4 linked regions of the Rhinolophus ferrumequinum genome follow. The protein of the gene in region 3 interacts with the protein of the main gene of each other region in a pairwise test. Links are inferred from orthologs where the notes say so. Each region holds a gene or a part of one and is shown on either strand. Other genes may lie near its edges.

The links.
Region 1: the proteins of SH3GL1 (region 3) and MTA1 interact in binary tests that used the Homo sapiens proteins (3 or more experiments, as listed by UniProt). The two-hybrid records come from large-scale screens. The link is inferred for Rhinolophus ferrumequinum from reciprocal best matches to the Homo sapiens genes SH3GL1 and MTA1.
Region 2: the proteins of SH3GL1 (region 3) and EEIG1 interact in binary tests that used the Homo sapiens proteins (3 or more experiments, as listed by UniProt). The two-hybrid records come from large-scale screens. The link is inferred for Rhinolophus ferrumequinum from reciprocal best matches to the Homo sapiens genes SH3GL1 and EEIG1.
Region 4: the proteins of SH3GL1 (region 3) and MAL2 interact in binary tests that used the Homo sapiens proteins (3 or more experiments, as listed by UniProt). The two-hybrid records come from large-scale screens. The link is inferred for Rhinolophus ferrumequinum from reciprocal best matches to the Homo sapiens genes SH3GL1 and MAL2.

What each region holds. Positions count from the first base shown.
Region 1 is NC_046289.1:457,103-464,517, reverse strand, and holds the start of MTA1 (metastasis-associated protein MTA1), read left to right. Parts: upstream 1-4,411; 5' UTR 4,412-4,480; coding exon 4,481-4,508; intron 4,509-4,846; exon of another isoform or gene 4,847-5,200; intron 5,201-7,415. UniProt on the Homo sapiens protein: Transcriptional coregulator which can act as both a transcriptional corepressor and coactivator. Acts as a component of the histone deacetylase NuRD complex which participates in the remodeling of chromatin.
Region 2 is NC_046295.1:76,982,835-76,990,420, forward strand, and holds the start of EEIG1 (protein FAM102A), read right to left. Parts: upstream 3,002-7,586; 5' UTR 2,609-3,001; coding exon 2,463-2,608; intron 1-2,462. UniProt on the Homo sapiens protein: Key component of TNFSF11/RANKL- and TNF-induced osteoclastogenesis pathways, thereby mediates bone resorption in pathological bone loss conditions.
Region 3 is NC_046301.1:59,306,461-59,314,033, forward strand, and holds the start of SH3GL1 (endophilin-A2), read left to right. Parts: upstream 1-4,561; 5' UTR 4,562-4,745; coding exon 4,746-4,790; intron 4,791-7,573. Other genes in the region: CHAF1A (chromatin assembly factor 1 subunit A), read right to left, coding at 2,001-2,268. UniProt on the Homo sapiens protein: Implicated in endocytosis. May recruit other proteins to membranes with high curvature.
Region 4 is NC_046297.1:57,713,789-57,720,900, reverse strand, and holds the start of MAL2 (protein MAL2), read right to left. Parts: upstream 3,016-7,112; 5' UTR 2,884-3,015; coding exon 2,752-2,883; intron 1-2,751. UniProt on the Homo sapiens protein: Member of the machinery of polarized transport. Required for the indirect transcytotic route at the step of the egress of the transcytosing cargo from perinuclear endosomes in order for it to travel to the apical surface via a raft-dependent pathway.

The sequences.
Region 1 (7,415 bases), on a different chromosome or scaffold from region 3:
GGGCAGGGCTGCCTTCTTTTCTGGGGGCTCCACAGGACAATCGTTTCTCGCCTTTCCAGCTTCTAGAAGCACCCACACACCTTGGCTCATGGCCTCTCCTCCATCTTCTAAGTCACAACGTAGCATCTATGATCCTTTCCATCATCACATCTTGTCTCCGTTCCGCATCCTCTCCCATTAGGGACCCTGTGATTGTCGGGCCCACCCCATAAATAACCCCGGGTCCCTTTCGGGTCGCCTGGTTAGCGACCTGCACTGTCCCTTACCATGTAACCCAGTGCAGTCACAGACATGTGCACCTTTGGGGAGGCACTCTGCTTTCCACAGGGGCTCCTGGCACCGCGTGAATAGAGGCCAGGTGTGCTACTCACCATCCCACAGAGAACAGGACGGTCCCCACAACCAAGAATGAGCGGGCCTCCAATGTCAGCAGTGTCCCCCGAGGAGGGTATAAGGCAGCCCAGGAGCCCAGGTGAGAGTAAGGTCCACCCAGCAGGCAGGGCAGGCAGAATCAGCGTGGTTAGGATGTCACTCCTGGCCACCTCTGACAGCGGGTACTGCAGTGCTATCTCCGTATCCACTCTAGACTGTTCTTTCACTTCAGATTCCCGACCAGGTATGTCTCTCCCCAGCTCTAGGAAGAGCAATGCACCTCCCCGGGACTCACGGGGACACCCCTGATTGGAGGGAGGACATAGTCTCTCGGGTGCAGGCTCTGGGCTGGCCATGTGGTCCCCTTCATGCCCTGGCATCCGTCTGTGCCTCTGCGGCCGGTGTGGAGCAGGGTCTGAGGCTGCTCTAGACACGCCAAGCAGAAAGGGGAGCCCCCTCAGCCCAGCCCCCAGGACCAGTGGGGCACCTGGGAGGTGTAGCTTGCGCTCCGAGGGCCAGTGGACAGCCACTGCCTGGCACTGCCCCCACTGAAAAAAAGGACTTCATTGGCTTTGCGAGGACACTCACTATTCCACAAGCCAACAATAAAGTTTAAAAAGTGTTGCCCACGATTTCATCACCGAGATATTGTTGTCGATGTTCGATAAAGTTTACGCAGGTAGTTGTAAAGGCCCAGGCAAGCATGAGCGGTCACGTGACACACAGAGACCGTGCAGAGCTACTCCTTTAAGTAAAAGCATTAAGGGAAAACATGGTCAGTGAAATGTGAATGCTTCTTTACCCCAAGTTTCAAAGATGCTCCTAAGATTATTTTTAGAAATTACAAAAACCATGATGGGACGAGTGTCACTTGGTTTGAGGCAGCATGCTTCCATTAGCCAGAGCTGGCTCTCCTGCTTCCTGTGTCCTGTGACTGTGTCCTTCCTGCCCACGGACTCCCCATGGTCCCCTGCACCACTCAGCCCTGAGTCCGTACTGACTTCATCATGTCTTCAGTGGTTGGATGTAAGGTAGCTTTCACATTTTTAAAGAATTTTATTTCTTGGTTTCTTCCAGGTTTAAAAATGTTTTCCTGGGGCCTCCCTACTCCCGGGGGGATTTGGCTGGGGAAGGGTTAGGTTCTGCTTTCCTGCCCCAGGCTCCTGTTCATACTTCGGGCGCTGCTGGAGACCAGGGCTGGCCTGACTACGTCCTGGTCTGTGATGCCCTCTCTGTTCTCTCCGTCCTTGAGGGTCAGTGACTGGTAGTCGGGTCTCGGGTGGGTCACGCTGGGGGCTTTCCTAGACTGTGGCGTGAACTCTCACACAGGCTCCCAGCGGGCCCCAAGGGCGCCTCCTTCACCAGTGTCCTGACCGCTAAGCAAGCAGTGCCCCTCGCCATGGTCACTGTCTGAAAGCATGTGATGTCATCACACCATTCGTTACCTTCCCTCCTCCCCTAGACTTTGCGCCCCTAAGAGGGAGTCTCCCAGGTGAAACAGTGTGGCCTGAAGTCGGTGCTGAGTGAACCGCTTTAATTGCTCATCCAGCCACTCCTGTATCAGGGACCTGCCATCCTGCCCCTCCACAGGGGGGCCTCTGCTCTGGCCCTGCTGCCATGTCTCTAGTTCTCGGGCTCCTCCTGAGCCCCGCTCCTGCTTCCAGTGCTGTCCAGTGCTGTTCCAGAAGCTTCCAGTGCTTCCCAGCCCCGTCGGCCTGCCCCTCACTCCCCCTTGTTCTGCTGCTGCTGTTGACTCACGGATGTGCTCTGACCTTCTTCACATCACTCCTGCTCTGACGAGTCTGTTTGCTCTGCTACCAAACGGAGGAATTCGTCTTTTTTGCAATGTATCAGATGTGTTGACTTGGCGGAACTGGTTTATGGCCTTAGTCCTACATGCAGCCACTTTGTCAGTCAAGAGTGGGAGCCAGCTGGAGGAGCTGGGCTGCGGTGTCCCAAGACACTATTAAATGTCATTCTGCTTTGTGACAGGCACGTCACCTTAGGGGAGACTTGGAATTCTGGTGTCTTCCCTCAGACACCGGTTGACCTCAGAGGCCTTACTGTCCACTCTCAGGCAGCCCTTCCTCCCTTCACCCCCACTGGATAGAGGGAAACAGTAGGCTGGGTGCCCATGGCATCTGCTCTCAGGTTGAGGCCTCCAGTTTCTGGGAGGGAGGCAGAAGCTCTTGTGCATGATGGCTGCCTGGTCACCTTCTGGTTGTCCTGACTCCTAGGTCACTTTGTGAGGTGTTGGTGGAGGATTTTACGCTGCAGCTTTGCTTTCCAGAGGAGTCGCAGGCCAGAAAGGGAGGACAGAGGCCTGTGGGGGGGAGGGGAAGCACCCCACTGCCTCTCCTCCCCTTGGAATATCAAATCCTAGTATCACACCTGTGTCCTATACCTAAGCTCCTCCCCCATCAATCACAACTGTGGTCTCACCCCCTCGCTGCCCTTTCCAGCTAAGTTCCTGAGAGATGGTGGCCCATGGTGGTACCACGTGGCATGTAGTCCATTGCTCTCCTGGGACCTCTGCCTGCTTTCATCCCAGCACACGCTCTGGGCTCCTGCCCACCTCGATAGTTCCCTGTAAGGACCTGTCCATGGGGGGGTCTCCTCTACCACGTGGCATCCTGTGCTGAGCCGGGAGCCTCTCCTGAGCTCCACTCCGTGAAAGAGCCCCTCCATGTCCCACAAACTGGACATGCCCCCCCCCCCGCCACAGACCTGCCCCATGTGAGTAAACAGATAACTCAGGTGTTGCTCAAACCAGATCCCTGGAGACCCCAGCACCCTATTTCCCTCACCCCCCAGCAGTGCTGTCAACCCTGTCTCCACACTATGGCTGGGACGCCATCCTCTCTGCTTCATGCTCTCTCCCCTGGGGGCATAAGGACCCTGGTTTTGCCGGCACTGCATGAACCAGACTCTCCACTGTCCTAGGACCTGAAGCAAGAAGTACACAGACTTCCAGATTCCAACTGGTGTGGGAAGGAGAGCCAGGTGCCTCACTGCACACAGGCAGCCCTTCCAGCCCTCCTGTCTTCTGGGCATGGCACATCCTGCCATCCCAACCCACTGAGTCTGGGTCAGTGAGGCCTGCTGGAACCCCAGCCTCAGATGTGTCTTCCAGAGGGTGTCCTCTGGGCATACATGCTGCCCTCCTGCAGCCTTTTCATCAGACCACAGGCCAGGGAGGCCATGCCAGCTCAGTAACTGGTTCACTTGGAAGTGGGGTGGGGACACCCCCACATGTGAGCATGGCTGGGGGAATGGGTTATGAGCGGCAAGGCCTGAGACCCAGGGTGAGTGGAGACAGCAGCCTTGAAGGGAGGTATGGGTCCCATCGTGAGGCCAGAGCATGGCTGCTGGGCTTTAGGGCAGTGGAGGACTTGGAAAAGACCCACCGGAGATGGGGGTAATGGGGGGGGGTGGGAGGCCCCTGGAAGGGTTCGGGAGGCTGTGGAGGGTGTGGTGGGGATGCTGTGGGAAGGGACGCTGAAGATGTGGACCCAGGGATGGGGAGTGGGGAGGACCCACCCCGGTAAGGGACGCTGAGGATGCCAGAAGGACCCAGACATAGGGAGCACCCTAGTGGGTTGTAGGAGGACCCCTCTGGGGAGGAGCAATGGGAGGATCCACGAGGGGAGAACTGGAGGGGATCCACCTGGGGGCTCCAGGGAGGGCCCACGGTGTGGGGAGAACAGGGAGACCCACCAGGGGGCTGGGGAAGAACCACAGGCGTTGGGGGGGAGAATAGGGAGACGCCTCCCGAGAACTTGGGGAAGGACCCACTGGGGGGCCGCGGGGAGGACCCACGGAGTAAGAACGGGGGGACCCACCTGGGGGCTGGGGAGGACCCACGGGGGGGCGCGGGCGGCTGTAACGGCGCCGGCGCCGAGGCCCCTCCCCCGCTCGCGCCGCTCCTCCTCTTCCTCTCCCGCCCGCCGCGGCCTCGGTCCCTGCGCGGCCTCGGCGGCGGCGGCGGCGGCGGCAGCGGCCCCTTTAAACCGCCCGCCCGCCCGCCGCGCCCCCGCCCGCCCGCCCGCGCCTCCATTTTCCAGGCCGCCCGCCGCCCGCGCAGCCCGCGGCCCCGCCGCCGCCGGACATGGCCGCCAACATGTACAGGGTCGGAGGTAAGGCCGTCGCCGGGCCCCGGGCCCCCATCCCCTGCGCGCCGCCCCGACCCGTCCCGGTCCCCCGGGCCCCCGTCCCCCGCCCTCCAGGCCGCGCTTCCTAAACCGCCGCCGGGCCCCATCCCCGCCCCGCCGCACCCGGTCCTGGCCCCAATGTCCCTCCCCTCCCCCACCCCACCGGCGCAGCCCGGCCGCGCAGCCCGATCGGCCCACGACGCCCGCACCCCTGCTCCCCTCCCCCACCTTTCGAGCAGCCTGCCCCTCCACTTCCACCCCTGCCCCGACTGCGGACAGTGGGGGTGGCGGAGTTGGGCCCTGGGGAGCGGGGCTCTGCCCACCTGTTGGGGCGCCTGCGTGACCTGGGGGCCCTGGGGAGAGGCCGAAGCATCCTTTCGGGCCTGGCAGCCAGGGCTGGGCCTGGGGCCTGGCCAGCCCCCTCCCGGAGCTGGAGCACGTGGTCTTGCGAGGTGCTTGTCTGCTCTCCCAGGAGCAGGAGACTTGGGCCTGCAGGGCTGGCTGGAATGCTGGGGGCCGTAGGCCCCTGTGGGGATGGGGAGCCCCAGGCCTGGGCCACGATTTCCCCAGGGTCCAGGGACACCTGAGAGCTGCGTGTGTATTTGGAGGCTTCCCTAGCAGGATCCCTTGGGATCCTCAGCAGGATGCTTCCAAAGCACCCCCAAACTTTTCACTGCCTCCTGTGCCCCAGGCCAGCAGGGAGGTGCTTTGCAAGGGTTGGGGAGAGGCCGGTGACCCCTGCCCTTCTGCCCTGGTGGGGACTGTGCTGAGCAGGCTGGGGCCCTGGGGGCTTCACCCTCTTGGGCCCCAGGAACCCCCCTTACCTTTGGGCCTTGCCCCACTTTGTGGGGAGGGTCCTCAGGGACTCTGTGCCTCTGGATTTCCATGGAATTCTGAGCTGGTCCTCAGGTGGCTTCTCCACAGGGAGGTGAGGGACCTTGCAGCCCCCCATTTCATCGATGTTCAATCTTTCTGAGACTGTCAGACACTCACTTGCCCACCTTTGCCCGGCTCTCCAAGTCACCTCTGCCCCCAGTCTGCCCCCTCACTGGCCTGCTGACCCCTGGGTGTCTGGGACACATCTCCATCTAGCCAGGCCTTTTTTGTGACCAGGACCCCATCTGTGCAGTGGGTCATCAAGGCACCTGCCTGCTGTCCGGCCCTCCTCTGCCCTCTCAGGTTCAGAGGTGGTCTCTAGAATGGGGGCCTGCACCCCACTTAGCAGCAGGCCCTTGGGGAAACAGGGAACAGGCAGGGTGCAGGGGCCCTGTAAGGGAGGAGCCCGTTCATCTCCCACCTTGGGGAGGCAGGAGTGTCACCACACCCTAGGGAAGGCCCCATCACTGCTGCCCTGGACCCCCAGGGGGCCACTTACCTTTCTCCACCCCCCAGCCCCTCTGCACAACCCCCAGCTGCTGTGGCTCAGGGCTCCTGCATCCATCCCTCTCGATGCTGTCCCCCCTTGCACCCTCCTGGACCACCTTTGTGCCACACAGATCCCCTCCTACCTTCTGTGAAGCCCCCATGGCACCTGCTGATGGGAACAAGTCCCTGTGACCTGAAGCCCACCTGCTGCCCCCTTGAGGTGACCAGCTAGAATCCCCTCTTGCAGGCATGGTCTTACCCTCGCATCCCGTCTGGCCCTGAGTGCAGAATAAATGAAGGCTGAGGGGGAGGCAGGGTGGGGGCTGCAGCCACTGTGCCTTTGGCCCTGCCCAGGCACCTCTACCCGCCTCTGCCTTGTGGGGCCTCCACTGTGCCTGCTTGTTGGGATTGGCCCTTCCCAGGCTCTGGGCCCCTGGACCCCGACTTGGGGTCTCCCCTTGCGTGTGGGTTGTGTCACTTAGCCTCTAGGTCTCCTACCTGCTTGAGTACTCAGCAGGGGCCCGGCCACCCCCCAACCTTCCCTTGCCTCAGTTTCCCTGAGGTGTGGACAGGGCTCTCTGACCTGCAAGGGCTCCTGGGGAGGCCTGGCTGGCCTTGAGTCTGCGTGTGCCCCTCTGAGGGTGCTGTGGGATCTCCTCCCAGTTTCAAGTGGCGCTCCGCAAGTGTGACCACAGGCTCCACTTTGAACTCCTGTCAGCCCCTGGGAAGACCCTAAATGTGGAAGAAACTGCATTTAGCCTTGGTTTTGGTTTCGGGGCGGGGACCCTGACGTGCCATCCCCTGGGTCCCGGCAGGGCTGGTGTCACAGTGTGTGCGGTGTTGGCAGGTCAGCATCCTGTTCCCAGGTGCTGCTTTCTTGGGGAGGGGCCATCTAGAAGACGGGCCCTCTGGTCCCTGAGTGGATTGTAGCCTGGAGGACACTGCAGGGACAGTCTAGGAAGGGACTCCCATTGTCTCCACTCAGAACCCTAAGAACAGAGCCTTTTCCAAAGGTGCCCGATTCTGCAAGCACAGCTAAATTTGGGTTTCAGATAAACAATTTCTTAGCATAAGTACGTCCCAAATAACGCATGGGACATACTTATGCTAGAAAATTCTTTGCAGAAATCTGCAGTATCTGGATGTCCTGCATTTCACCTGATGGGCTGTTTCAAGGCCCTGCCAGGATGTGTGGGCGGGGTGAAGGCATGGCTGTGGCTTTGTGCCAGCTGACCAGCTGGGTGGAACGGGTCAGCCTGGGAGGGGACAGGGCCTGGCTCTTCCCAGGGAAGTGACCTGGCCATAGACAGAGGCCTTCTGTCAGTAGGCTGCGAGTCTGGCAGGTGGGTGGGCGGGGCCTGGACACGAGTGGCAGGGTCAGGGTCCACGACCTCTGCCCCTCGGGGCCTGTGCTCCAGAGGACCCGGGCAGGCTTCTGGAACGGGCCGTGGCTGAGGGCTGCTTCTCTGCACACCTGCCCAGGTGCCTGGTGACGTGTCAGCCACCCTGCAGTGTTGTCATGCGGCT
Region 2 (7,586 bases), on a different chromosome or scaffold from region 3:
TCACAACGTCACTATCTCTCCTCCCTCCAGCCATACTGCACAAACAGGTACCCAGCACCCCCTAAATGCTGTCTCTCCTCCCTCCAGCCACACAGCAGCAAACAGGTACCCAGCACCCCCTAAATGCTGTCTCTCCTCCCTCCAGCCACACAGCAGCAAACAGGTACCCAGCATCCCCTAAGTGCTGTCTCTCCTCCCTCCAGCCATACTGCACAGCAGCAAACAGGTCCCCAGCACCCACTACGTGCCCAGCCTTGGGGGACTCATGTCAGCTCCGCCCCGCCCAGCCCCACTCAGGTTTCATCCAGGATGAGAGCTGGGAAAGGCTGTTCGGGCTCGGCTGCCTTCAGGGAATCCATGGCCCCTTGCCAGGAGGGAAGAGGGGAGGCAGAGGTGAAATCCAGACACTGTGGGCCAAGACCTGGAATTTTCCAGACTTTCCCAGATGAGGGGGCAGATTTATGGCAATGAAAAAGCTGACAGGTAGGGTGACAGTGGCCCCAGGGCCTGGGATGCCAGGAGAGACCTCAGCCTAGGGCTGAATACCAATTCCTCAGTGGGATCCAAGATCCTGGCCCCAACCCTAGCTGACATGTAGGCCCCCTGCGGTCTCTAGCTGTTCCTCCCCCATTCAAGACCTGGGAGCGGTAAGGGCTGGGCTCCTCTGCCATAAAAACCACAACTGCTGCAACAATTTGTCTGAGCCAGAAGTGGCATATACATTATCCATTCCCCCTCACAACTCTAGGTATGACCTCTCCCATTTTACATAACAGGAAACTAAGGCTCAAAGGCAGAACCAGACAGTAGTTAAAAGCACATCCTAACTTTGAATCTGGGCTCTGCTGTATTAACTCAGGCAAATCACTCCTTCTCCCAGCCTCAGTTTTCGACTCTGTAAAATGGGAATAATAATCCTACAGGAGCCCACCCACCCTACCTCCACCCTGCTCCATGGCATAGTCAAAGCACTAAGTGAGAGGTGCTAGGAAAATGGGGAGCACAGCACCAATAATTGCTGGTTCTTGGAATCAGAGAGGTTAGGTAACTTGCCTGAAGTCACCTAGTCAGTGAGTGCTCGAACCCAGGCCCTAGCTATGAGCACAGCTCTTTCCCTGAAACCTTGGGCTGCTGTGTGGGTGGCCCTGGATCACAGGCTTCCTAGGCAACCAAGAACACCACCTCTCACCCCACCACCCCCACAGCAAAGGGCAGCCCTTGTCTGAATTCCTCAGATAAGCAACTCCCAGTAGCCTGGGGAACCCAGACCTGAGCAGGCCCAAATGCACGGAAAAGGTACCCTACTCCGTCCACATCAGAGTCCCAAATCTGGGTTAGGCTGCGTGGCTCCCCTCCCCTCCTCCCAACAGAACGTTAGACCACCAGATACATCCAGTACGTCTCCAAACAGGCCAAGTTCAGTTGACAACTGCCTTCTGAGAGGTCCCTGGCAAGCCACTTACTTTCTCTTTCAGGGCCTCAGTTTCTCCATCTGTAACAAGCACCCCATCTCAGAACCGTTATGCAGCTCCAGCTATCTGGGCCTACAGAGCAGAGGGGCAGAGCCGGGAAAGGAACCAGCATGTCCTAGGCCCTGGGCCAGGCCCTACACCGCCTTCTATCTACTGAATCAACATCTCCGCAACTCTCTGACACAGACCTGTATTGGGCGCAGAAAGTGACAGAGCTAGCACTCAAACCCCCATCTGTCAGACTCCAAGGCACTCTGCCTGAGGGGCCAGGACTACGTGACCCCAGGTGGGCCCAGTCAGTGGGTGTAGCCTGGGAACTCAGTAGCCCTCAGCAATGAGCTGGGCAACTGGACCTGCAGGATGGGGTAGAACACAACACCAAAGTTGACCAGGCCTCTTTAAGAGCCGGCTGAAGCCTCTTTGACAAGGGCATTTGCAATGCAAAGCAGCCCAGCTCCAGCCAGAAGAGGACAGTCACTCAGAAGGGGTGGGCAGGTCAAAATCTAGCCACCTCCCTCCAGACAGACCAGGAGTGCCTGGGGCCTGGCCTTCCCAGAGCAGGGAGTGTCTGGGAACCTGTGGCTGGCCAGGGTGCTCAATCATATGACAGCCGTAGTGGCCAGCTGGGTTCAAGGTGGCCTGGAACACTCCTCCCCATCTCAGCCACTCAAGGCACAAACCCCGCTGGGCTCTTTGTGCAAGTCTGCAGAATGGGCTTACAGCAGGTTGTGGGTAGGGCCCCAAGAGGAGGGCCGAAAAAATAGACCCCCAGGTATCTGGCAGCTCACCTGCAGATGGGTGCCGGCACCCTGCCAGCTTCCTCGGGCCCAGACCTCCCAGATCGCTCAGCCCTGCCTTGTGCAAACCTGCCCCAAACACACATAATCCTCAACACTCTCTGGGCCCCAAGGGGCACTTCCACACTCGCCAAGTGGCTACATCTCGCTCATCACCTCCCTCCTCTGCAAGCACGACTGCCCCAGCTCCTACCGTGAAGATAAGCTGACAAAATCCCCGCCATCCAGCAGTCGGACCTTGCAGAAGAGGACCCCGTTCACGAAGGGGACCGCCGTCAGCTCCTCCAGGGTGAAAGTGGTTTGGAATTTGAATTTCTTCTTCTTCATCAAGAAAGCCATGAGCGAGTTCCCTGAGTCTGAAGCCCCGAAGGCCCAAAAAAGGGGAGAGCCAGAAATCCCCAGGATTCCTTTCCCTACACCACACCCCCTCCTCAAAACACCAGAGCTGGATCCCGCCCAGATGGTGGCGGAGGCAGCAGAACAGACCGGGATCTGAGTCCGGAGGGCCCAGGTCTGAGCGACCAGTCCAGTTCGCGGGCCGGCTGGCTTCACCCTCGGGGAGACAGGGCTCGGAGGGGCTCGGAGTGGCCGAGAGCTTCACCGGCATGTAAACAGCGGGACACGGCCCAGGAGGCAAGGGCAGGGGTGGCGGACAGCGCGCGAGCGGCCGCGCTGGCGGGCAGCATCCCGAGCCGCGATCCCTGCGGAGCTCACGCCGCGCGACCGGGCGCGGCGGGCGGACCGGTGAGACTGAGGGCGACCCGCTGACCGGTGAGGCCGAGGGCGGCAGGCGGCCCCGCCCCCGCCCCGCTGGCGGCCGGGGGAGGCGCCCTCGCTGCGCACACGCCCCCGCACCTGGGTGCCAGGCGGCCTTCGCAGGTGAGTCTGGGGAGGCTGAGGGCACCCTCAGAGGACGATCGGGAGCTCTGGGGGCCTCTCCGGGAGGCGCGTCGGGGACACCCCCGACCGGGAACGTCCGGCCGCGAGCCCTCCCGGCGGGCACTGGGCCCCGGGCAGCGAGGACGCCGCCTCCTGCTCAGTCCTGGGTCCCGCGCCGCGGGCCCCGGAGAAGCTGAGGCGCCCACCCGGCCGGCCGGTGGCGCCCGCCGCCTCTGCCCAGCACCCCGCGAGCAGCAGCGCCGTAGCCTGCGCTCCCAACGCGGGTGCGAGAATGCGGAGGCCCAGCACCTCCGCCCGCGGAGCCGCCGCCGAGCGCAGGAGGGGCGGGACGCCGGCGGCCTGGCCCGCCCGCGATTGGGTGGCCCAGCGGGACGGGTGCGGCGCGTGACTGGTGGACGGTGGCGTGGGGGCGGGACTTGAGGAGGCAGAGGTGGCTCGGGATGCTCGGATTGGTGCGCCGCGCGGCTGGGCTCGCCTCCTGGGTCCCGGCCGAACAGAGGGAAAGAGAGAGGGGCCCGGGAAAGGCAGTGGGAGGTCGCGGGGCGGGAAGCCGGGGTTGGCGGGGCATGGAGGAGAGCGCGAGCAGAAGAAAAGAAGAAACAATGAAGAGAAGAAACAATATGAACACTATGGCTGGAATGGCCCTCCAGAATCCTCCCAGACACGAGCTCGTTGACCATTAAATCAGTCTTGTAAGGTAGCCAAGTCCCATTTTTTTCAGGAAACACACTCAGAGAGGTGGCGGGTGCTAGATCAAGCAGGTCTTACACCCTCCGAATCTAGTTCTCAGCACTGAGGAGAGAAGTGTCTGCAAAGCCTTCGCCAAGGAGGTGATTTGGAGCAGTTCATCACATTACCTGTGACGGACCCAGCTTCTTCCACCCCAAGCTGCTAATTAAACCTTTTGTTGGTTAGTTTCTTACCTAGTTATGGCTGGCCTCCTTGACTAGATTAACTGCCCTAGGTACAGAGACCGCTAAGGAAACCACGTACCTACTAGGCCTTCCACATATTGTAGTTCATTCATTCAGTCCCCAAATGTTTAGGAGCAATCTCCTCTGAGCTAGGCTGGGACCTAGTAGTGAGTCTAGTAGGCCTGTACTCTCCAACCTCTTCAAGCTCAAAAACAGGTAGAGAAGCAGACAGGGACAAATATAGTGGATGAAAACTGTCATAGGTGACTTACAGAGGACTGGGGGAGCTCAGTGAAAGCAGTGGAGGGGTTGGGAAGAGAACTCAGAAGGCTTCTGGCACAAAATTATCCAAGCCACCCTGAGTTAGGGTGTATGTGGTGAGTTAGGCTGGGTTCAGGCAGGAGGAGCCTCCAGAGGCCTAGCAGGCCAGAGAGCAGTGCCCATCCAAAGCTATGAGTACCTCCCATCTGGCTGCATTTTGGCGATTGGTGGTGGTGGCAGGGGTGGGAGTGAGGCAAGAAGAGATGGGGCTGGAAAGCCTACAGTGGCTGGATCTTGCAGAGTCTTGTAAAACAGAGTAAGGAAGGGAGCCATCACATTTTGAGCAGGAATGTGACCCAGACAGATTTGCTTTTTGTTGTAAGAAGCTCGCTCTGGCTGCAGTTAACGCAGAGGGGAAAAGATGGGAAAGAGGTGAGGGACCTACTGTGGTGATCCAGGCAAGATAATGGCAGTGGAACTTCAGCACTGGCGGAAAATGAGAGGATGGGTCTGAGAGGCATTCTAGAGACAGAATCGACTGGATTTGGGGATGAGTTAGGTCCAGACATGTAACTGAGAACTCAGATTTCTAATTTCTTCCTGCTTCTCAGCCATAAAAGGGGTAGCGACCTATATCTCTCTCCAGTTTGTCCCATAATTTAGAAAACACAGCCAGATAGAAGAAGACGAACACTAGTAACTCCTAGTGCTATTATGTATCCCCATTTACAGCAAGGAAGTTGAGGGCTGGGGAGTTTATTTCACTTGAGTATTGTCTTGACGCTGGAGCACAGGCTCTAGAGAGCTATGCTGTGCTACCCACACTGTGGGGCGTGTTCTCCTCACTAATCCTGGCTGGGCCTGCTCCACAGGGGAAGAGCCTGTGGCTACCTGCCCCTAGGAGGGGATTTCAGAGGAGAGAGCCAACCAAGAATGTCCCAAGGCCTGGCAGGCTCCTCAGCTATGACCATGAGTAACCCTAGGTCACTCCAACAGGAAGCAGTGTGGGGGCCTGGCTGCCAGACTTAGCTCGGGTCGGGTATTCATCTCTCTGCAGCCTCAAGGCTGGGAACCCAGGAAGTTTCCCTTCCTTCATTTGCAAGATCGAGCCTGAAGAAGGGAGAGAGTGTGGTGCCAGGACAGGATGCTCCATTTGGGGTGAGACGAGCCCGGATTAGAATCCTGGTTCTGCTGCACATGGGCAGTGTGGCCTTGGTTCAGGACACTGAGGCTTGGGGGCTCCAGAAGTTCCGTATGATATGCTAAGACCACTTGCCCTAGAGCCAGCAGGGTTCCAAATCTGGCTGACACAACACTGACCACCTAGGTGACACAAACTTTGGGTATGGTTTTGCATGCATAGAAGGGAATCTTGAAGGACGCATCCTAAACTTTTCCATCGCTGAGCCACAGTTTCTTCAGCTGTAAAATGGGAATAAGAATACCAACCTTTCCAGAATGTTGTGAGGGCTTCAAGAGGCTGTGCCTGAAGAAGGCTTAGTTCTGAAGGGATATGGGGATCTGAGCGAATGGTCAGCAGGAAGCTTCAGGCCAGTACTTCCACACTTTTGCCCACCCCCCCCCCCCGCCAATTCCTGAGTATAGCCTGCCCTACCTCTCTGAGGCCCTCACCAGACATATAAAGAAACCAGTACCCCACAGGATAATTCAGACAAGTGGTCTGGAGAAGGAATCCCTGGGAAATGTGAGAGAGGGTGATCAGATCTGGGGTCCCGATTTAGATGGGGTGGTCAAGGAAAGTCTCTGTGTAGTGTTAGCTCAGCCTAGACCTAAATAATAAAGGGGACCCAAGCCCGGGAAGCTCTGGGGGCAGAGACAGGAGCTGGCATGTTTGGGGGACCAGAGGGGAGTGAGTAGAGGGAGGACAGAGAGGCATGGGGTCTGGCAGGAGCCTGCTCACATGGGCCCTGTGGGCCTAGAAAGAGTTTAGATTTTGTTCAAAGCCCAAAGGGACACCATTGGAGGATGTAACCAGGTTAGTGACAAGATCCAAAATACTTTTCAGAAGTTCCTTCTGGATGCAATGTGGAGAATGGGTTGATTGTCAGGGTGAGAACAGAAGCAGGCAGCCAGGTGAGGGGGCTATTACAGCCATCCCAAGGGAAGACTGGTGGCTCAGACCAGGGTGGAGCCAGAACAACGGGAAGAGAAAGGGAACACATTTCCGAGAAAGGGAACACACTTCCAAGGAAGAGCTCAGCACTTGATGAGCAATGATAGTTACTCAATTAGAACGTTTTGAATATTCCCAGGGTTTTGAATTTGACTCAATGCCACCAGGTTCATGAAGTTGGGAGGTAAGTGAGCATAAGCCCTGCAATAGGTATGGGGAAGGAGTAGAGGGAAGCAGAGGAATTGAGTGGGACTGCAGCCTGTAGAGCAGAATCATAGCTGGAGAAAGTAGGATGGCCCTAGAGAATCCTTACCTGGACCTGGACAAACTCTTGTGTTATTTACTTATTTCTCTTTCTCATTAGAGCATGAACTTCACACGGTCAGAGACCTCACCCATGGGTGTCCCTATGCCCAGTGTAGGACCTGCCATGTGATAGACACTCCATAAATGGTTGTCAAATGAATACATGGATGGAAGGATGCAGGGATGGATGGGTAAATGGATGGGTGGACGGTTGTACATTGAATCATGTCACCCCCTACTTACACACTCCTCAGTGTTGCCAATAATTATCAAAATTCAACATGCACACAGTTCCTTTTAAAGTAAGTTACCTAATAGCAATACACACACCTGCGTGAGAAGATAGCCATGCAAGATGGTCGTTGCACTGTTGTATGTCATATGAAAACATCATGAACAGCCTGATGTCTGGCTGCTGGGAGACGGCGGACTTGAGAGTAAGGACTGTGTTTTGTTCCTGGCTTCATCCGTGGCTCCGGGGACAGTGCCTGGTACTCAATAGGGGTCAATAAATATTTATGGAGCAAAGGGAACCGTCATTAATGAGATGCTGTGTTGCTTTTGAGAAGAATGCTGGAAATGGTGTGTGTTCTGAGGTAGGAGATGTTTATACTATGATGCAAGTCAGAACAGTATGTAAAGGATGAGCTGACTTTTATGGAGAAAAAATGGATAATTTATGTATGCACAGACAGGAATGTTGAAGGAGACAGACTAAACTGTTACCAGAGGCTTCCACCTGAGGAGAGGGTTTGGAGGGACATTTTTACTCTTATTTTAATGAATATTCTTGAGTATTATT
Region 3 (7,573 bases):
CCCCCTGCAACTAAGATTGAACACGGCACCTTGAGCTGAGCTGCCGCTGAGCTCCCTGATGGCTGTTGGTTGGAGCTCATCCTCTCAACCACAAGGTTGCCAGTTTGATTCCTTGACTCCCGCAAGGGATGGTGGGCTGCGCCCCCTGCAACTAGCAATGGCAACTGGACCTGGAGCTGAGCTGCGCCCTCCACAACTAAGACTGAAAGGACAACAACTTGAAGCTGAACGGCACCCTCCACAACTAAGATTGAAAGGACAACAACTTGACTTGGAAAAAAGTCCTAGAAGTACATATTGTTCCCCAATAAAGTCCTGTTCCCCTTCCCCAATAAAATCTTTTAAAACAAAACAATAAAAAATAATAAGGGAGAATGTTTTCCTGCATCAAAAAACTCTCAAGAGAAGCATCTCATAATATCACAGCTGATACAGGAATGACCATATGAGCAAATAGTTCAAGTCTTTGGACAAATATCTTTAAACAGTCAGAATAAGTTTAGAAGCTTGCACCTGCTAGGAAATCTGGCTTGGAGAAATCCAGTTTATTTTGGGTAATCTACATATGTTTTGTACAACATATATACAAGTAAAGATCGGGGATTTCTAAAGAACTCAGCTGTCCATAGATGAAACCACCCTCCGCACTTCCAAGCTGGAAATATAAGGAAGGTACCCAGAAGACTCATATTTCCATTCTACCCATTTCAAGACACTATCATTCTGAAGCTTTCAGTTACCAAACACATGGATTCCCATGCAATTATTGGTATGGATCTGACACCAACTTTGATGCAAGTAGAACAGACCTTAGGTCAACCAAGAGGGACCTCTAGACTGTTCAAAGATACACATACAATTAAGACACATTCACATATAAACTCACCACTGCTCTTTATCCTGATATTATACCCCACCTAATTTTACTTGCTATTAAAATATCCTTTCCTTTTATAATAGTACAGTCATAGCAGGTGATGCTTTTTTTTACTTTTTAAACATTCTTACTGGGTCAAATGACTGTCCATGACAATCAGTCCCAACTTTATTTATATGAATTTTATGTCTTTGTGAAATCCCCAAATCTGGAAACAATTAGAACAGTGGTTCTGCCCCGCAGGGGCCCTTGGCAGTGCGTGGATACATTTTTGGTTGTCACAACTTGGGGAGGTGGGGTTGCTACTGGCATCTATTGGGTGGAGGCCGGGGATGCCACTCAGCACCCTCAAGTGCACAGGAGGGCCCCAAAAGTCAATAGTGCTGAGGTTGAGAAACCCTGAATTAGTCCAGTTGATGTCCCTGCCAACTCTTAATTTATTCAACCAACACATATCTATCCGACACCTACTATGTGCCAAGCATTTTGCCAAGTGCTGGGAGTCAAGCAGAGGGGAGGGCAGTCTAGTCTTCTTTGGTACACCACACTACGTATGGGGGGGGGGCTGTTAGGTGCTAGAAAACCCCTTCCAAGACACACAGAAGAGAAAGACAGGTCTTCACCTTGTATATCCACCAGGATCAAGAATCAGGGAGTCGCAGCTCCCTGACATTCCCACCATCCAGGCGTCTTACCTGGGCTTGCCCTGACCCGCAGACGCAGCTGTGACCCTGGGCCTCAGTTTCCCTACCCGGCCAGAGGGTCGCTGCAGGGTCCAACTTGCTCAGTGGAGACTAATGCAACCTTCAGAATCGGTCCTTTCACCTCCCTGGGCCTCAGTTTCCCTTCCTGGCCACACCGACCCGTCACCGCAAAGGGCCCTAGAAAAACGAACTTAACGCCAAAGCACGGGGAAAAAATGGTCGCGGCTGCAACAATAACGTCAGGGAGGGCGCCATTCGGGTCGCAAGGCCCTTCCTCGAGATTGTAACGACCTCACAGACCGAACGCACCGCGCAGAGAAGCGGCCCGGGATCAGTAGGCCCTTCCGCCCCCAATCGCCTCCTCGGCCCGCACAGGCCGATAACCGTATCCCCTTCCCCTCCGCGCGGGCGGAACTGACCTGCGGCCGCTCCCCTAGGGGCCGGCGCCCCGCACTCCAGCTGTTCCAACATCGCCCCGGCGGCGGCTCGAGCTCCCCTCGGGCGGCGGAGACGCTGGCTCCACTCCGGCGGCCGCGACTGCTCGCCCTCCCGCCCGCGCCGCTGCTGCCGCGGCCGCCGCGCTCGTATTTGGCGGGAACCGCTGCGACCCCCGCAGCCCGCGAGCCGATTGGACGAGGCCGCATCACGTGACGTCCCGCCTCGGGAAGAAGGGAGCGCTGGAAGCATCCTCGCGAGATCCGTGGCTTCCCTTCCTCCCCCTTGGCTCCCCTTTTGATATTCCCGCGGAGTGGCGGTCTTCCTCCCGGCGTCTCGTCATTGGCGGGCAGGAGGCGTTCTTCAATTGGCGGTGGAGAGTGTCAAGCTGAGAGATCGTCACTGTGATTGGCTGAGTGCGTGGGCTAGGCCAATAGGCGAGAGGGCCAGGGTCATGACGAAACGTTTTACGTGCAGCGGCGTCACAACCTGAAACTGCGATTTAGATGAAGACTGAAGTTGTGGGTGTATCCTAATAGGACATCCGCTAAACATACCAACAGCAATTAAAACTTTAAGTTACTTTTTATATAAACAAAAATAAAGTAAAATCTGGGCAATACTTCAGAAGCATTTGATACGCAGTAAATATATTCAGAGGGAATTAATGAAATGGATTTTTCTGGTTTAATCCTCGGGATTTTTGCACACGCTGTTTTCTCAACTAGAAAGCTCCGTAACTCCTTTCCTGTCTAATTTCTACCTATCTTTCAGATCTTAGATTGACACCTCAGAGAAACCTTTTTTCCTTTACCCCCAACAAAAAGTGCCTACAACGTTCTTTTTCTTGAAGCAATTACAGCTTATGTTTATGATTAATCATAATTGTTACATGATTAATAACTGAATTTCTGTTTTTGTCATTAGTTTCATGAGGGCAGTAATCATGAATCACTGTATCCCCAGGACCTATCAATGACTAATACATTAGTAGGTACTCAATAAATACTTGCGTGAATGCATAAATATCATTTGGACTGTGTGATCCGTGTAGGTTAAAAGCCTCACACACAACACTCGGTGTCAGCCTGCAAGCCTTAGAAACAGGTTTACTTCAGCAAAAATTTAATCTCTCAAGCAGAGCAGAAGACTGAAAGGGAGTCCAAATTTGAAATTCTATTGATACTATAGATTGAATAAAATTAAATCAGTAGAATTAGTTGGAAGCAATCTGGAGAAATTGAAAATTTGGGGACATCAGTTTGGGCAACTTATGTCTTACTAAAGTCCTCAGTTTCCCCATGTGAACCCTGAGGACGTTTTCTCTCTCTTCTCTGATATTTTGGCATTATGCAATGATTTAGACCAGTGGATTATGCAATGTTTAGACCATGGATCACCGTTGAGGGTGTCCATCATAATCACAGGGGCTATTTTTTCTAATCATTCATAGTAGCCTCATTAAAATCTTTGGGAGGGAGGTGGGGGCATGCATATTCTGAAAAAAATCCTCTGATGTAGTCCATACCTTCTGTTAGGCATTTGGAAACTTTCAGTACCCTTCTGCTTCAGAAAATGTGTCAGAGATTTCAGCACTGAAGTTGCAAGCACTTTAGCTCTAGTCACTTTCTTGTTCCTCTTTTTGGATTCTTTACTTGTTCCAACTCATTATTAATTTCAAATTCATTCAATATGTTTTCATCAATAAGAATTAATTTTAAAAGTCACTGTTGATAAATATGTATCAATCCGGGAAGGCTTCCTGGAGCAGGAGACATTCCAAGCAGATTCCTCTTATACACAAATGTTGGGGGGGGGAAGATTAGAGAAGAATGTGCAAGAGAGGTACAACTTTAGCAAAGGCCCACAGGCAACAGGGATCATGGACAATAGAAGAGGAAGAGAGCCGAAATCAGAGGGTTGACTGGGCCAAATTGTGCAAGCTTTGTAGGCCATGTTAGGAAGTTGGGAATGTATTCTAAGGGCAGTAGGCAGACTTTAAACAGGGGACTGTGATCTGAATCATGTTACAGAGGCATATTTCTGGCTTCCTGGTAAGGGATGAACTGGAGGGGGAAACCTGAAGGTGGGCTCACCAAAGAAGAGGCTGCTGGTGCAGTGGTCTGGTCAGGGCAGAGAGGACAGTGGGGATCGTGAAAAGGAAGTAGAAGCAACACCCTGATGTCTGACTTGGGCAACCGAATGGATGAAGATGGGGCAAGGTTGGGGATTAGACAGGAGGGACTAAACGCGTAGATGAATTCGGTATAGCTGAGATTAGCAAACAGGTATCTGGAGACTGAAACCCAGTCTCCCAACCTCTCCAGAAAGGCTTAAGCGCATTTCCTAAGACGTTAGAGCCACCTCCGGCACTCCAGGGGACGCTGCATCCGCCAGGGCCGCTCTAGGCTCGCCCGGGTCCACTCGCTGGCAGAAGCGGCCGCTCCCGCAGCAAGCGAAGTGCGCGTGCGCCTTCCGGACAGCAGGGGGCGCGCGTGCGCAGACGGGGCCGGAAGTGTGCGGTTGCCATGTAATATCCTGGCCGCGCGGGCGCGCGACGGGCTGAGGCGGCGCAGGGGTGGGAGCGGAGCTGGCAAGAGGGCGGCGGAGGCGGTGCCGACGGGGCCCGCTGAGGCGCACGGGGGGTCGGCGGCGCCCGGGAGCCTGTCGCTTGCGCTGTCCCTCCGGTTCGCTGGGTCCCGGCGGGAGGTCGGACGGCGGAAGGCAGAATGTCGGTGGCGGGGCTGAAGAAGCAGTTCTACAAGGCGAGCCAGGTAAGCGGAGGCCATAGCTAGGGCGAGTCCCGGAGCCCCGGCTTCCCGGAATTAGGGGTCGGGTTAGGCCCGGCCCTAATTAGGGAGGTGGCCGGGGACACCGAGGGCACGTGTCCCTCGCAGGGTGGGGAGAGCCCAGGAGGGCCGGGGGCTTGGTGCGAGGTGGCCCAGGCCTTGCCTGCCATGTGGGCTCCAGTCTTCTCGAGAAGGATGGGCAGACCCCTGGCTGGGACAGAGAGAGGCACCCAGAGGTTGGACCGGGACGTGGACCCCTCCTCGCCTTCCCTGGAAAGGGCCGGGTGGGGGAGAGAGAAGAGGGAAGAAACAGTCCCAAGGCTGTGGACACACGACTCTTGCCAGATAGCGCAGGGGCAGGAAAATTTTGTGTCTAGAACAACTACTTAAAAACACCAGCAACAAAAAAATCTCTTTCAATGGACCCGGTACAAAGTTGAAAGGGTAGAGGGAAAAGTCAATTTCTCACTCCAGGCCCTCAGGCATTCAGTCCATCTCCCTCAGAGACAAGGACTGTCACCAACGACTTATGTGTGTCTCTTTCCAAGGTATATGTACGCCTTCCCTTTAAAAACACACACAGGTGGTGTAGCATAGTCCACATAGTCCTATGTACTTTGAGTTTTTTGTTAAATCTGTCTTGGAGATCACACTAAAGCTGGAATTCTCCACCTTGGGTCACTCTGTGGTTGGGGGGGCCGTCCTGGGCACTGTGGGGTGTTGAGCAGCATCCCTGGCCCCCACTCACTCATAGGAGCAGCCTCCCGGTCGTGACAACCACAGATGTCTCTGGTCGCTGCCAGATGTCCCTGGGGGAACCCCTTCCTTCCTCTCCCCCAGAGTTATTGCACTAGAACATACCCCTAGGGCTTCTTGGATCTTTTTAATGGGTTTCTGGTATTCCATTTCATGACGTGTACCATAATTAATTTTATCAGTCGTTTATTGATGGATGTTTATACTGTTTCCAGTAGTTTTGTGCTATGAACAATACTGCAGTGAATAGCTAGCAAATACCTTTGCTCACAGGGGGGATTGGATTTATAGGATAAATTCCCAGAAGTGGAATGCTGAATCCAAGAATATAGGTGTTTTATATGTGATGGGTAGTGTAGGTTTTTTGGGAAGTCGGGGGCAAGAAGCCCTGGGTTCCTTGAATACTGCTAGTCCCAGCATCGCATCCCAGCTTAAGAACCATAGGTGTGGAGTTTTTATGAATAGACTCCATAGAGGAATGAGTGGTAATCCTCCAAATTGTCTAGGCCATGCTGGCCAACTGGGCTGTACTCCCAATTTGAAGAGGGCCAGTGGGAGGGAAGAAAAATGCGTCTCCAGTAACACATGCTAGTACCTTTTGCCCCCCAAGGGGAAAAGTCACAACCGTAGTGGTTGTCTAGAGCTAAAGATATTTGGAGTCTGTCTGTAGACCCCAGATGTTGGCTAAACCCTAGAGGAAGAGAGACTTACTCCCGAGGGATTCTGAGATTGTTGCTGAGAGTACAGCCCTTTGACCTAACAGGATGGAATGAAGTGACCTGGTCCTGGGTTAGACCCTGCCCAGCAGACAGCAGACCGCTGGGTGCTTGACTGGATGTCTCTTTTCTGGGAAAGCTGCTCACTGTCTTGGACCCCAATGTAGTCCCTCTTGCAGGACTGATGTTTCCATAGTTCTTGGAAGAATTCCTGGGCCACTTTGTTCCTTCATGCAGACAGGTCTGTGGGAGCCCTCCCTGTCCCACCCCCAGCTATCAGGGCCCATGCTGGTGGCCCATCCCAATCAGACACATTATGCCAGAGGAACTAGCTGGGCCTTTCAGGCCAGCCACCAGAGCTTTTTCTGTCAGGGGCAAACAGGATGGCCTGCATTTAGATCTGTGACGAGTGCTTTGAAACCTGACAAGCACAGTGCAGTGTAAGCTGGTGGTTCATTTCAGTTTATTAGCTGAGGCCCAGCCTCAAAGAACTGCTGTGATGGCCACGTCCTAACCTGCATGGTCGTCTTGGCCGCCTGGTCAATTCCAGGTTGTGTTGTCCTCTCAGGAAATCAGCCTGGCTATGTTCCATTCTCTTCTGCAATAGTTTCCACGGTCCTCTAGCATCTCCATTGTTTATCTGGCTGTGTTCATCTAATTGTGTTTCTTTCTCTTGGTCTAAGGAATACCTCTTTCATCCTCTTCTATGCCCTCAGAATAGGGTTGTCCGTTGAAGAGGAATGTCTCTTGTTAATGTAGTAATAATATTTATTGAATTCTTAGTGTGAACAGACAGTAAATGCTTTAAACCAGTCCGTCTCAACTGGCCTCACTTATCTGGCCCAAGGGTAAATGTATTCCCCTTTTTAAACAAAAAGATTTGGGGACATTTATCCTCCTCTAGAACAGTGCTTTTCAACCAGGGCCACTTCCGCCCTCCAGGGGACATGGGCAATATAGGGAGACACTTTTGGGTGTCACACCTTGGGTTACTACTGGTATCTAGTGAGTGGTGGCCAGGGATGCTGCTTCACACCCTACAGTGCACTGGGCGCCCCCACAACCAAGAATTCTCTGGCCCCAGATGTCAGCAGTGCTGAGGTTGAGAAATCCTGCTTTCAGGTGCGAGAAAAGTGAGGGCCATTGTACAAAGACAACAACAAAAATCCCACCTGAGCCACTCTTGTGGCAGCTGCCAGCGCTTCCCAGTTGTTAACACACAGATAACCACATATACACAGATGGACATGTACAGAAAACTCAGCATCCACATCCTGAGAACCCCAGAGTGTCTTT
Region 4 (7,112 bases), on a different chromosome or scaffold from region 3:
CTGAACACTTTAAAGGATCAGAAAACTAGAGGGAAATTAAGAAAGCAGGGACCAAAGTTGCCTCAAAAGTGTTTATTTAGCTCCTATCTGTGCATCTGCTCAGTGTGGGCATTCTAGATAGAGGGGTACCGAGGCAGCCTCATCTTTGCTCTCTGAAAGCATATAACCCAGTATCTCCACGTGGTACAGAAGGATGACAACCAAGAAGGAGCCATAGTTTGGCTCCAGTGTGGTCTCGTTTCTCTATGCTCACTACTTTCATTGGAATATTAGGGTCCTTTTAGTTTTTTTGGGGTAAGATGGGGAGGAGAGAGACTATTCAAGTAAAAGAGATAAATGGAGGCCTAAGAATTAAACCTATCACGATGTTTGGCCATAGTGAAAAGTAAACGGAAATGGCTTTTGGAAGGGATGCTTTTATATCTAGATAAGGGCCGTAGATGTGTTTCGGGGGTAAGAAGCCAGAGGAAATGAAGAGCTAAGCGGAATGGACTGGATACTTCTGTGAGTCTGGGGTCCGTCCTAGGATGGGCGTGGCAGAAATTCTAGCAGAGAGAGTTCACATCTGCAAGAGAGGAGCTGTCCTGTCCACAGAGCCCCGATACAAGCTTCCCTCAGTGGTTCCCTGCCAAGACTATACATTAAAACCTCTGAGGAGCTTGACAAAAACCTAGCCAACTCTGGGCGCTCCCCCAGAGATTCGGATTTAATTAGTCTGGGCTGGCAACAGTATTTTAAAAAGCTGCCCAAGTAATTAAGTACAGCAAGAGTTGACAAGTAACCACTGGGCTAGATATATAGAGATATGGGGAGAGGAAATAGAATAACTCTCTTCCCTCAGAATTAGGTAGTATTTCTGAAAGTGTCACATGACCACAGGTGATTCTTGAGATGGTACTTGATTTGATGGCACATGGATTAGCCATATATATATACATGTCAAGCTTCACATACTTGATAGCACATGGATTAGCCATATATATACAGGTCAAGCTTGACATGTATATATATATGGCTATCCGTATGTGAGATATATACATAGTTTTATATATATATATATCTCACATACATATAGTTCCATATATACATATATGTATCTGTATATGTAAATACATAATTATATATTTGAATATTAGAAACACAGAACCATCATATCAAATTTGAGAATTCACATACATTATTGCTTAGGATGAGGCTGAGGTAGGCATCTAAGTTTAGAAAGTGAATCTATTTAAGAGAACATTCTGTAAATTCTAGTACAAGTGGAATGCGGATAAGACAAAACCTTCTAAGAGGTATGCAGACAACTGGAGTTTGGGGAACACGTAACCAAAGCAGCTCAGAACCTATGCAATCTCACTCTTTATCTTAACTGCCCGCAACGCCTCTCCCTCTGCACAACAGTGCAGCCGGCCCAAAGCCATCCACTCCCTGCGCTTCTCACATGGACGCCTGCGCCTCACGGAAGCATTCAGATGCTTGGGAACCGGGCTGAGTCAAACCAACCTCTCCTAGTCTCGTAGTCACCATCCCATTACTGATGCCGTGGCCTGTAACTCACTTGTCTCCTTTTTCAGATTCAAATCTGAGCTAAACTTAACTTAGGGTGCCCTGACCACCTTAGCATAATAGGGCAGAAAACCAATGCTAACATGGTGTTCCAGCCCCACAAGCACAAAAGAGAAACCAAAGCGACCCAAATCCAGGTTATGCAAACTCACAAGGAAGGGGTGAGGGGAGAGATATGAAAAGCCCAAACGGAGCCAACAAAGCAGCCTGCAGGAGAGGCACTGACATTTCACTCTGTTTGTCGTTCTCAGGGTGTGATGTAACCTCCGGTTGCCCAATTCATGTTTGCAGATTTTCCCTTTCACGGCAGCTTCAAAAGCTTCCAACTCCATAAAATTCCTTTAAAAGAATTCCCAGTCTCCAGCCCCAAAAGTTTGCATTGGACAGGCCAGGTGACCTCACCTTCACTTAGGCCCGACCAAGTGTTCTGAGGTGTGGAGTGGTGTCGGTAAGCTAGGAAGAAAGAAGGCACAAAGGCAGGCAGCAATGAACTTGACAGCCACGTCTGTACCTTCCCCTCACCGTTCTCACGCCCACTCGATTAGAAACTACCAAGGGAACAGTACACACTTCACCTTTTTCCTGCCCTGCTTTCTGAGCCCTGCTCCTCTCCTCGATGCAAAGGGCACTCAGAGTGGCAAGGGGGGCAATGACCCAGGTCTTCAGCCCTCCTCCTCTTTTTCCTGGTACCTCCGGGCCCCGCTTTGCACATCGTGGCAGCCTCCTGGTCACCAGTCATCGGCTGCACCTTTGCACCACCCAACAAAATGGCAGGTTAGCAACAGGCAAGGCTGAGAGCGCCTGCTCAGGCTCCAGCCAAGCGCGGCCCCGGGCCAAGCCGCGGGGGGTCTCTGACGGGCCCCTAAACCCAAACACCATTCCCCTCTCAAAGTCCCCAATCCTCGGTCCCACCGGGCCACTTGCTCGCGCTCTCGGGGCCATTTCTATCGCCAGCGGGGAACAGGTGCCAGCATTAACAGGTGCCAGGCCAGAAGGCCCGGGTGGCATCGCCAGGGTCAGGCTGCGCTGGGCATCGAGGAGACCTCGGGGGGCGCAGGAAAAGGCCCCGTTAATGGGAAGGGAGCTGGGGGCGCGCGCAGAGGGAGACAGCACGGGGGGCAAGGATGCCGGTGCCAGTCCTCGCTCCCCGGGCGCGACTCTCGCCGAGGCTGCCCCACTTACAATCTCCAGGCAGACGAAGGCGCCCGAGTAGGTTCGCAGGATGTCGGGGCCGACGGGTAGGGTGACCCGGGGCGCCGGGAAGGACACGGCGGGGTTCGGAGGCGGCAGGACTGACCCTCCGCCGGCCGACATGCTGCCGCTGCTGCGTCCCTGCGCGCCACCGCCGCCGCCGCCGCCGCCGCCTCCCTCCGCCCGCCTCCACCTCCCGGGCTCCGGCGGCCACCGCCACTGCTCAGTCCGCCGGGTCCGGGAGCGCCGCGCGGTTGGGGGCGTGGCCGCGCCGCCCGGGGCCTCGCAGAGCCCCTCCCCCGTCACGTGGGTCCAGGTGAGCGCGACACCGCCCTGGCGCCCGCGCGGGTCACGTGCAAAGGTGCGGCCGCCACCTGGCGCGGTTCTTCCTGCTGGGCTCACCTTGCCGGCTCCGCGGGCCGGCGCGCTGCGCTCCTGGAGCCTCTCAACGCCCGGCTCCCCCGCCTTGCTCCTTATTTGTTCCTTCTGTCCCTCTTCCTAATTTCCACCTGTTCTCTTCCATTTGTCCTTTCCCCAACTGTCACCAGTTCCTCTACCCCACTTTCCTCAATTTAAATGCAAACTGGTCTTGGAGATGTGACTCAGAAGGTAAAATCAAGGTCACCAGTCACACCTAAAAACTGGAGTGGATGTACTTTAAATGGGACTCCAGTGGGGTGTTTAAAATATCACTAGGACAGTGTCACGCGTTGGAGTCAGATGGCTCAGCTCCAACACCTATTGGCAGTGGATGCCGGACAGGTAACCTGTTGCTTTGCATGCCAGTGGTTCCATGTACTCATCTGTGAAATAGGGATGAAGGCATCTACCTGGTCTGGATACCCAAATTACATTATATAACATAAAAAGTTTAGCTCATAGTAAGTGCCCTGTAAATAGTAGCTAATATGATGACTGCTATTTTTTGAATTTTTACACACACACACACACACACACACATCACATTCTTCTGTACACATGATGTTGCGTAAGTTATATTTCCCACACATGTAAAACTTGAATCATTGATTTCAGCTGTCTGAAACTTATGAATCGCTGTTGTCTTTTAAACACGGTAAAATATTTTTTAAAATTCTATCTATGGTTTGGATTACCTGCCTCAATTTATTCCCATTTTATCTTCAGTTTTAATGTCAACATTTTGTAAGTGAAATAGATTAATTTTTTTCAAAGCTCAGTTGAAGATAAAACTACACATGCCGGCATACACAAATAGACCAGATTGGGAAAAATATTTGTTACCATCATCAGATATTCTCCAAATTGAATACTGATCTTGTCTGTCAGGTTTAGCCTTTGAGGGACTGCGTTTATCTCTATGTACTGTTCAGCACATTTTAGTCATTCTACCTCTTTATTATTTTAATAAGCGAAACTCGTAGGTGTGGTGGCAGCATCAAGGTAAAAACCACAAAACAGGGTGTGGGTGAAACCTTTTGAATATACACCTCCAATCTTCTCCACCTCTTAGTCATTGCTTTCTGATATTTAATGTGTGGTATGTATTTAATAAGAAATGAAAAGTTTTCTGAATTGATTTGTTTCACTAATGAACTTTCTGTGTTCAGGCCTCAACTGGTAGGGAATGATCTTCCTATTTTAGTTTAATTTCTGCCTAACATGTCTCGATAAGCACTTTAATAACCTTCAAAGGGAAAATGTCTTCAGAGAGTTCATCGTGGAGATGTTTAGGAGTTACTGTGTTTCCTCGAAAATAAGACCTAGCCGGGCAATCAGCTCTCATGCGTCCTTGGGAGCAAAAATTAATATAAGACCCGGTCCTATTTTACTATTAGACCGGGTCTTATATTAATTTTTGCTCCCAAGGACGCATGAGAGCTGATCGTTTGGCTGGGTCTTATTTTTGGGGAAACATGGTATGATGGGACCCCCAAATTTTAAAGAATAAACTTAAAACTACTTTGGAGTTTCTAAAAGTGCTAATGACTCAGAAGAGCCTCAATTGGGTTTGTTTAAAAAAATTGCCACCAAGGGGACAACTTTGCTTTGTGTCCCTTTCAGCATGTTGCTTGATGGACGAGGTCTGACAATTAAGTTTGGGAACTTGTTGTAATGATGTTGCTAACCTTTTTTTGATATCAGAGGGATTATTCATTATGAATTTGTACCAACTGGACAAACAGTTAACCAAGTTTACTATTTGGAAGTGCTGAAAAGGTTGCGGGAAAAAGTTAGACAACCTGAACTTTTCACCAGCAATTCATGGCTCTTATATCACAACAATGCACCCGCTCACGTAGCACTGTCTGTGAGGGAGTTTTTAGCCAGTAAACAAATAACACCTGTATTGGAACACCCTCCCTACTCACCTGATCTGGCCCCCAATGACTTCTTTCTTTACCCGAAGATAAAGGAAATATTGAAAGGAAGACATTTTGATGACATTCAGGACATCAAGTGTAATACAACGACAGCTCTGATGACCATTCCAGAAAAAGAGTTCCAAAATTGCTTTGAAGGGTGGACTAGGCACTGGTGTCGGAGCATAGCTTCCCAAGAGGGGTACTTCAAAGGTCACCATAGTGATATTCAGCAATGAAGTATGTAGTACCTTTTCTAGGATGAGTTCATGAACTTAATTGTCGGAACTCGTATGTCACGTATCCCTGACTATCTCCAACCATCCCTGTTTTCCCTTATCTACCTGCTTCACAATGACCAGTGGAATGAAAGAAAAACAAATGTCATTGAAAACTCTTCTACTGTAACGTATTATTTTCTTGAAAATGAATTTCTTCCTAGAATGGTTCTCCCTTCTCATGACAACTACACAATCCTGTTTTCTCCTGCTAATACCAGTTTCCTTCTAATGCAGACAACATCTCTGGAATCAAAGGAAGAAAAGCACTCTTCTTCATGCTCAGCCCCCCCGACTCTGTCTTTTCCTCCACACAATTGACCACGAGCTCTTACCAGTTTCACTTCTCTGCTCTTTACCCATCCTGTATTCGTGGTTTCCTGACCTCCAACATGACTCTTACCTTGCACACAGTCTTCCTTTGGACCTCATTTTTTTGAACATCAATGTTCATATTCATGATACTTTCAACAGTCTTGCTTCACAACATCTGGATCCATCTTATTTCTTGGACTGTCATTACTGCCATCCCTTGAACGCTGACTTTTTCTCTGATGACTGCATCCTATTTGTCTAACTGTCCTTCATGCTCAGTCTATTGGCCTCTAGCACTTCACTCTTTCCTTATTTTCCCATTGGCCCCATTCTGGCTTTTCTGGCTTCCCTATTCATCCTGTGCTCATGGGGAGGCAGTTTAGAGATGCTTGTATTAGTCCCAGATATTGCCTGCCCTCTTATATTTTATTATAAACTTACCCACACTGCCCCATATGCTTCAGCTTGGGCTCAGCCTACCATCTACATCTGCCTCTGTGATTCTGCTCTCTCCTTGTCCAGGGTTCCTGTAAGAATGTCATAATCAACACTCTCATCCCCATTACTAATTCGTGTTATTGAAACTTGACCGGGCCTTAGGAATTCCCAGTTGTCATTTCCTTTCTCCACCTCTCCCTCCATTTCTCTCCCTTATTATTTCAGAGCTTCTTTCACTTTCCCCGTTTTTATACCTGGCACAAGTAGACAACATGCCCAAATGAATGAATGCAAATCGAAACCATTCCAACCTTCTCTCCTTTCTCTTACTTCACAAGAACTTTTCGAACATCTAACCAGTAATAGTTGTTTCATTGAAAAGGACCATCACTCCAGTTATCCCAGACAAACATCTGGGAGTTTCCCTTGGTAGTGCCTCTCATGTCACATATTTAATGTTATATTGTCTGGCAGTTCTACCCTCTTATTCTCTAGGATATATCCACTTCTCTCCATTCCCACTGTTCTCACTCTAGCTCAGGATACTATCCCTTATCACAACAAATACTCTAACTGTCTCATTTCCCTCCTTTCTACACTCTACACTGCCATCAGAATGATTTCTAAACACAAAAATGATCATAGTCACACCTCTACTTAAAGCTCCTCTAAGATTCCCTACCATTTTCAGGATCAATTCAAAACACCCCAGGTGGTATTTGTGGTGTATAGCTTCTGATGAGCTCCTGGGCCACTCCAGTCCTATGAATTCACCTACAATTCCAATAATTCTCCTGCCTCCAGACCTTTACACATTCTCCTTCCTCTAATGGAACATCTTTTCTTCTTACCACTCTTCTACCCCACATTGAATTCATGGATAATTCCTTTGGGTCATAAGGGCATTTCTTTATGACAGCTTTTCTCTGGCCATTGAAGGTTATGTAGCCCCCCACCCCACCACCCAGTGGGGTTCTAT